Linked DNA regions of Macaca fascicularis. The protein of the gene in region 1 purifies or fractionates together with the protein of each later gene. This does not show direct contact. Links are inferred from orthologs where the notes say so. Each region holds a gene or a part of one and is shown on either strand. Other genes may lie near its edges.

Region 1 (4,265 bases):
TGAGGGTCATAAAACCATGGAATGGGTTTTATGGGGTAGTACTCTTGAGAAAGAAAAGAGAAAAAATTAATCCACCAACTTTTCAATAGAAAATTTGATAGGCTGTAGTGACAAACTAGATGGGTTAATGAAAGAGTAAGACCTACCTTAAAAAATGAAAAATGCCAACTGAGCAGCAGCTTCTAGTCATACCCGAACATCAACAACATCGATAAGGCCATGTAAAAGTCAGCACTAAGGAAGTGTTATTCAAGGCAGAAAAGCAAAATGGCACTTTTATAGGCATTATGAGCAGAATAAGCAACAGAGACCAGGAGATTACAGAAAAAAGAGGACCACTACATCATGGAATAAGAAAGACAGTTTCGAAAAGAGCCATCACTGTATACAATGAGAGGGTGCACAGCCTTTGTAGCCAATCAGATGCAGAATTCTGGCACCTTCTCTACTTGATCAAGTTATTTAGCCTCTTTGAGCCTCATATAATAAAGAAAACATAAGTTAACAACTAACACTGTTGAACACATAGGGGCTTCGAATATATTGGTCAAATTTTATTTCTTAAGCTCAGTTGTGATACATAAATATTTATTAAATTAGTCCCCATTATCTTTTGTTGTTTTTGTTTTGTTTTTGTTTTTTTTTTTGAGACAGGGTCTTACTCTGTCCCAAGTGCTTTACATATCACCTCATTTAATCCTCACAATACATTTCCACAGATGGAAAAATTAAACTTAGAACTAGCATAATAAGTAGCAGTGCCAGGATTACTATTTCTTAGGATTTAAATAATGTATATTTAAATTTCCTGGCAAACAGGATGACCTCAAAACGAGTAGCTATATTTCATTATTAGGAGATAATAATCAATAGGGACAAAACTGCCAGTAATTCCTGTCATAGCCTTCCATGTGGCAAACTCCCTCAACATCCTCATCTATAAATTAGGATTAATGCCTATAATCCAACCTACTACATAGGGTTGCTGTGAGGATTAAATATTATGAATATGAAAATTCTTAAAATGTTGAGACATTCAAATATAAGGGATTGCTGTCACATACCTTTTGCCTTTTCAAAATGCCTTTGTGGCATTTTTGTTCACTACTTCAAAATAAGACTCTCTGAATAAGCTAAAAATAAGTATGTTAAATGTGCAACCACCACTTTGAAAAGTATAAATCACCACAGAATTACCGCCTACACCTGCCCCTGACTCCTCCAGGTTCTCTAATGTCTCTACAAGGGCAAGGATTCTCTTACACCTATAATGAAACTCTGATAACTTACAGTACAGCTAATCAATAGAGAGCTGCACTTCAATTCAGTTGCTCCAACGGCCTATTGTGTTTTCTCAGAAGTGCTCCTTCCAGTTCTTCCAGAAAAGAAAAAAGTGCCCAATTCTCTTATATTGTATTAAAACGGTGCCCAGTGAGTCGAATGCAGGTAACTTACGAAATGCTAGAAAATAATCTATCAGTTGACTTACTCAAGGGCTCTGACAGCAGGTCCCTTTTGGAAACTCCTTCACGACTCCCCCCTTTTTTCACCTGAACAGATGGCTTCCAGGCCTCAAGGTTCACTTGTCTAGTCATACAATTCACAATAGCCCCCAAAGTTCCTACCTTTTCAATTATCCTACGTTCTTGAACACACCTTTCATCTAAAGATCTCCAGCTGTCAAAGCAAACGATCTCTTTAATCTTCACAACAGCACTATCTGAGAGATTACTATCCTTATTTTAAAACTTAAAAATGAAAGACTGAGTAAATGTTTTAGCAACATCAGACAATTCGTTAACTCATTCTTGGGGAGAGAGGAATGCATATTATGAACTTCTGTCAATGGACAACCCAGATTTGGCTTCCTAACATCATCGCAAATATTAGCTCAAACACATCCCACTCTTGTATGCACACATTTCCAACACAGGTATCAAAGATTAAATATAAACCATTAATAACAGTAAATACCATACCAAAGCAGCACTATTTTTACACGCAAATCTATATTGGGGGAGGGGGTTCTAATTTAAACTTCCCACTGTCTTGAATCCATAAATACTTTTGAACTTGAGGGGTTAGGCGGAGTAACACCTGTCAGAGCAGCACATCCACAATGTTTTACAGACTGTGTAGCTATTAATATTTAATTCCTTAAGCCGTAAGCAAACCACCTTCTCAAAAAAAACAAAAGGCAGTATTATGCAGAACATTTGACAAGAAAGTCTACGTGGTTGTAAGAAGACCAATAATTCCCTGGTTTTAAGTCTCCCAGACTTTGTGAACTTGCTACGAGGGATCACCCCACCCGCCCCGGGAGGTCAGGCCGCAGGGAGCCCGGCGCTGCCCACCCGACTTTCCACGCGCCAGGCCCGCCGGCCGCAGGGGAGGCTCCGGCTCCCACTCCCCTCAGGCCCCCTCGCCCCGTAGACGGACTCGGCGGGACACTCGGACCCGCCTCCCGACCTCGGCGCGCCCGGCTCAGGGCCCGGCGGGCAGGGAGAGGGTCGCAGCAGGGCCTGGCCTAGCCACCCCCGCCCCGCGGCCGCCGGCGCCGCTTCCCTCCTTCTTCCCGCTCCCCGATTCGTTACCTCTTAGGCGCCGGCGGCTGCTCCATGGCGGCCGGGGGCAGAGAGAGGGACCTGGTGGACTGCGAAGGCCGAAAGGAGGAAAGGAGACCGGGCACCGGCTGGCCGAGCCTAAGGAACCACAGAGGGAAACTCTGGGAACTCGGACCAACTTTCCCGTAACTCCGCGGCGGATCTCCCTCCCGCTTCGGAGCGCTGCTCCTACCGCCCCGCCCCCGGCCGCCAGTCGCCTGCCTCCGGCAGCAGCCCAGAGAAGGTGGGCGGAGCCGGGCGCCGCGGCGGGGGGCGGAGCCTGCCGCGGCCTGGGCTGGCGGGCGGGGCTGGTGCCGCGGCGGGTGGGCGGGGCTGGGGACGAAGGCCGGGCTGACCCCAGAGCCCCGTGACCGGGAAAAGGAGGAGGTTCGGCTAGAGCGAGGGGGCGAGGCCGGAGCCGCTCTAGCCTGGGGAAGGGCGAGTCCCTCCGAGCTGGCCCAGTGCTCCGCCCCTCGCTTGCCCTCGATACGGTTTGCCCTGATCCAATTTGACTCATTTCTTTGGCTTTCCCAACGATACATCCAAACATCGTGTGAATCCGTTTGAAGTATTACTTTCTAACTGCCCACGCTTCCCTCTCTAGTTCTGTTTATAATTATCGGTTATGTTTTTCCCCCAGCCATTTGGCATGTGTAGGCCGCAGTACTAGGGATACTTCTGGAAATTCTTGTTTGATTTTTATTGTAGACAAGCTCCTCGCTACATTTCACAATAATTACATCTAATTACCGAGAAAATAATTAATGCAGTGAGATCTCTCGGTGCACCAAATTCAGTTGCACTGGGTCCTTGCAGCTGTCCCATTGGGTAACCTGGCAAGCCTGCACAAATTATGCTGCCAAGAAGAATACTCAAGAAAAGTGTGCTTGGTTCCCTCTTTGGTCCTCTCCCCTAACCTGATCCCAGTAGTCCTCATCCCATTGTAATTTGACCACTGCATGCATCCATATTGTGGGTATACTTTTAACCTTAAATTCCATGTATAGATACCTTTCACATAACAATATACAGCTGCTACATGAGTTTACCTGTTTTTGTCAGAAATTGTCAAGATGGGCCGGGCGCGGTGGCTCATGCCTGTAATCCCAACACTTTGGGAGGCCAAGGCGGGCGCATCACTTGTGCTCAGGAGTTCAAGACCATCCTGGCCAACATGGTGAAACCTCGTCTCTACTAAAAATACAAAAGTTAGCCGGGCGTGGCGATGCGCCTGTACTCCCAGCTACTTGGGAGGCTGAGGCAAGAGAATCACTTGAACCCGGGAGGCAGAGGTTGCAGTGATCCGGGATCGCGCCACTGCACTCCAGCCTGGGTGACAGAGCAGACCTTGTCTCAAAAAAGAAAAAGAAAGAAAGAAATTGTCAAGATGTAGAGTTATAAGAATTTTCTTGGCGGTTAGAACAATAAATATGAAGATAATGCTAAATAAAGGAAATGAATTTGAAGAGAATGTTGAATAATGTGAATATTTGCCCAGATTAAACTTGACTGTTAGCAGCTAATACAAGTTTAGTTTAGTCCTCTTGTTGCATTAAGTTTCACTATGTAATAAACTTACATTATTTATTTTCAAACCATTATATTCTTCCCCAAATTTAGTTATTTTAAGGCCATTCATTTTTGAAACTCAAATTCTGAGAA
Region 2 (3,970 bases), on another chromosome or scaffold:
TTTCTCTTTAGAGAGTAAATCAGCTCCAAAAATTTGTTGTGGCATATAAAAAGCAAGCATCAGGCTGTTTAAGCGACTTAACTCCTAAATGAATATATGAATAAGTTTATTTCTTTTGACATAAACAGAAGGCACAAAGACCAACTGTTAGACATAGTCTCAGGAGTGATGATGGGAACCTCAGTGCGAGCTGCGTAGTAGACAACTAGGCATTGATGTCTGCTGAAATGCTGAAAGGGATTCAATAATGTTAGAAGTTCTAGAGAATTGTTCAATAAATGGTTAAAGATCAAAATAGGACCCTGGGGGAAAATGTTCTTTTGCACTTTTTTTTTTTTTTAAATACAGTCTCGCTCTGTCACCCAGGCTGGAGTGCAGTAGTGCAATCATAGCTCACTGCAGCTTCATCTGGATTCTAGCAGTCCTCCCACCTCAGCCTCCTGAGTAGCTGGGACTATAGGTACATGCCACCACACCCAGCTTTTTTGTTTTGTTTTTTTGTTTGTTTGTTTTTGTAGAGACAGCACTTTGTTGCCTAGGCTGGTCTTGAGCTCCTGGGCTCAAGCAGTTCTCCCATCTCAGCCTCCCAAAGTGCTGGGATTACAGGTGTGAGCCCCTGTGCCTGGCACTTTTACACATTTTTTGACTCATAAGAACTAATTTTTTTTTCTGGGATAAATTCCTGCCAAAGTTTAAAATAGGTTTCATTTATCCAGTAAAAATGCACAAAACAAATGGGATCAAGGCTACGGCTTTGGGAGATTGCTTGCCCATCACCACTAAGTCCTGCAACTTACCACTGATAATTCTGTTGGAAATTGAGTTAGTTGATACTGGGTTTTTTTTTTTTTCACTCCTCTATGAAAATAATTGTGTTTTTATGAACGAGGTCAGGAGGTCCATGCTTGAAAATTACCAAGTGTTGCATTAGGTTAGAGCTTCTTTTAAAAAAGCTTAAAACTCTTTCTTTAGAAAGAACATCTATTAATACAGTTTCTAGTTATGAGGGCCAAGGCCTAAAGGACAAGCCAAAAGAATGACAGAGGAAGGGGATTTAGGGCTAACAGGTGGTCCCCAGACATATTGGCTGAAAGGCAGTTCACAGCTAAAGTGTCATATGTGGGTGTTAACTATGCTCCTCATCCATGCTCTCTGTAGCGAGTCGTTCTGGAACTCTCCTGGTTCTCACTATGGCCATAAGAAGTGACTTTCATGAGACCTTCAGAAGAATAGCGCGGCTCTTTTACTGGTTCCCCAAATCACTGACCTGCTCAAAGAATCAGAAATCCAAGCTGCCCTGGAGCCAAGGTGGGGGTAAGTCACCTCAGGCTAATGCCTTATTTCAAACCCATGTTTTTCTGTTACGTTTTTAAATGGAGCCTCCCTCAAGTGGGCAGGGAGGCGTGGGAAAAAAAAGTCTTGAAGCCTTTAAAAGGTATTTTCCCACTTGGTCATCTGGGGGGAAAATTGAGAGAAAATAAAGTTAAGCATTTTGAGGCTGAAGTATTAGAAGCCATGAACACTGTTACAATTCAATTGTATGCTTTTTAGGCATTTCGATTCCGAAAAGTTGACTAGAGAGAGATGAAGAATGTTTAGTATTTAAAAACAACAAAAACAGCTCTTATTCTCAGGGACTCTTAACTTGTCCTAGTACTAAAACATCTTAGAATAAAACAGAACACAAAAAATAAGTCACAATGAGTTCCCCTCCTTTCCATAGGAAACTAAAAAGGTCAGTGGGCCTTAAATCTCTTTTATTTGCGTCAGTTTATGCATCACATTTTAGTCAGGTATTTCTTGATGTGAGAATTTAAAGCACCTTATATTTGCTACCACATAAAGCCCTGCTTTTTCTGTCCAGTCCTGCCTGACTGGAATATGCAAGGGTCAGAGGAGAGGGGGTTAAAGGGAGTAGATGACCCCTCCAAGTCTGGTATCTGCAGTTCCCGCAGGAGCCCAGCTTTCGCCTTCATACTCTGCAGCACTGGTTGTACTACTTACACTACTTAAGCCAATTCTCTCACTTCATAATGTTTCATCTTGCAACTGAATCAAAATTCTAATTATGTTTCTTTCACACCCGTATAGCTCAGCATTTTATGTAAGTGCTTAACAATTACATCAATTGTATTATGTGTTTGATACATTATCACACATAATCTGATGATGTGCCAGATTATCCAGTGCCAGATCCTCCTTTAAAAACAGAAGTGAAGACTAGGCCCCGTGGCTCACGCCTGTAATCTCAGCACTTTGGGAGGCCAAGGCGGGTATATTACCTGAGATGAGGAGTTCAAGACCAGCCTGGCTAACATGGTGAAAACCAGTCTGTACTAAAAACACAAAAAAATTAGCTGGGCATGGTGGCTGGTGCCTGTAATCCCAGCTACTCAGGAGACTGAGGCAGGAGAATCACTTGAACCTGGGAGGCGGAGGTTGCAGTGAGCCAAGATCATGCCCTTGTACTCCAGCCTGGGCAACAAGAGCTAAACTTCGTCTCAAAAAAAAAAAAAAAAAAAAAAAAAACACAGAAGTGATTATGATCTATAATCACCAAGGCGTGATTAAGAAATTTATTTAAACGCATGCAGGCCAGGCACAGTGGCTCATGCCTGTAATCCCAGCACTTTGGGAGGCCAAGGCAGGTGGATCACCTGAGGTCGGGAGTTCCAGACAAGCCTGACCAACATGGAGAAACCCATCTCTACTAAAAATACAAAATTAGCTGGGTGTGGTGGTGCACACCTGTAATCCCAGCTACTTGGGAGGCTGAGGCAGGAGAATTGCTTGAAAACCCAGGAGGCGGAGGTTGCGGTGAGCCGAGATTGCGCCATTGCACTCCAGCCTAGGCAACAAGAGTGAACCTCCGTCTCAAAAAAAAAAAAACATGCAATTCATTTAAAAAAGAAATAAGAAATTTATAAAATATAATGCCTAGGACATTTCAATCATCCATTTTTTCTTTAATTTTTTTTCATTCTTTCTCACTGTCAAAATAGGGATAATATCAAGTCTCTGTTTATATGTACCATTCTTCAGATATGGATTAGCACAATTTGGGATGTTAGAGCCCCAAGAGAACTTAAGAAAAATCATCTTCACCAATTGCTTCATTTTAAAGATAAGCAAAAAGGCTGGGGGCGGTGGCTCAGGCGTGTAATCCCAGCACTTTGGGAGGCCAAGGTGGGTGGATCATTTGAGGTCAGGAGTTCGAGATCAGCCGGGCCAACATGGTGAAACCCCGTCTCCACTAAAAATACAAAAATTAGCCGGGTGTGGTGGTGGGTGCCTATAATCCCAGCTACTTGGGAGGCTGAGCCAGAAGAATCACTTGAGCCCAGGAGGTAGAGGTTGCAATGAGCTGAGATGGCGCCACTGCACCCCAGCCTGGGCAACAGAGCAAGACTCAGTCTCAAAAAATAAAAATAAGATGAGCAAACTACCTCCAGAAGGTTAGATACCTTAACCTCCCAAAACTATTACATAGGCACAACCAGAGCTTTATCCCAGATTATCTAATTCTTGGTGTGCTGCTCTTTTTATCACACCACAGAGCAATGGTGAGTAAGTAACAGAATATGAACATACGAATCCTCACTGAATATTTTACTTAAAGCTTTCATCAGTAGAAAATCTATACTTAGAAAGTTTGATTATCTATTTTTCCAAAGTAAAGCTTGTTAGTTTTCTTATTACTGTGGAGATTGATAGCCTGATTCCAACAATCTTTTCACTTATACACAATATTATGAAAGAAAGTTTTTTTGTTGAGGCCAAGCGCAGTGGCTCATGCCTGTGATCCTAGAACTTTGTGAGGCCGAGGCAGGCAGATCACTTGAGGTCAGGAGTTTAAGACCAGCCTGGCCACCATGGTGAAACCCCATGTCTACTAAAAATACAAAAATTAGCCAGGCATGGTGGCAGCCACCTGTAATCCTAGCTACTCGGGAGACTGAGGCAGAAGAAG

Evidence for each region. Proteins that work in one complex are often made in the same cells at the same time.
Region 2: the proteins of STK3 (region 1) and RASSF3 purify together in Homo sapiens (affinity purification with mass spectrometry; 4 studies listed by BioGRID and IntAct, with this or other methods). This does not show direct contact. The link is inferred for Macaca fascicularis from reciprocal best matches to the Homo sapiens genes STK3 and RASSF3.

What each region holds. Positions count from the first base shown.
Region 1 is NC_088382.1:108,435,582-108,439,846, forward strand, and holds the start of STK3 (serine/threonine-protein kinase 3), read right to left. Parts: upstream 2,803-4,265; 5' UTR 2,621-2,802; coding exon 2,595-2,620; intron 1-2,594. UniProt on the Homo sapiens protein: Stress-activated, pro-apoptotic kinase which, following caspase-cleavage, enters the nucleus and induces chromatin condensation followed by internucleosomal DNA fragmentation.
Region 2 is NC_088385.1:71,262,138-71,266,107, forward strand, and holds the start of RASSF3 (ras association domain-containing protein 3), read left to right. Parts: upstream 1-1,169; 5' UTR 1,170-1,190; coding exon 1,191-1,314; intron 1,315-3,970.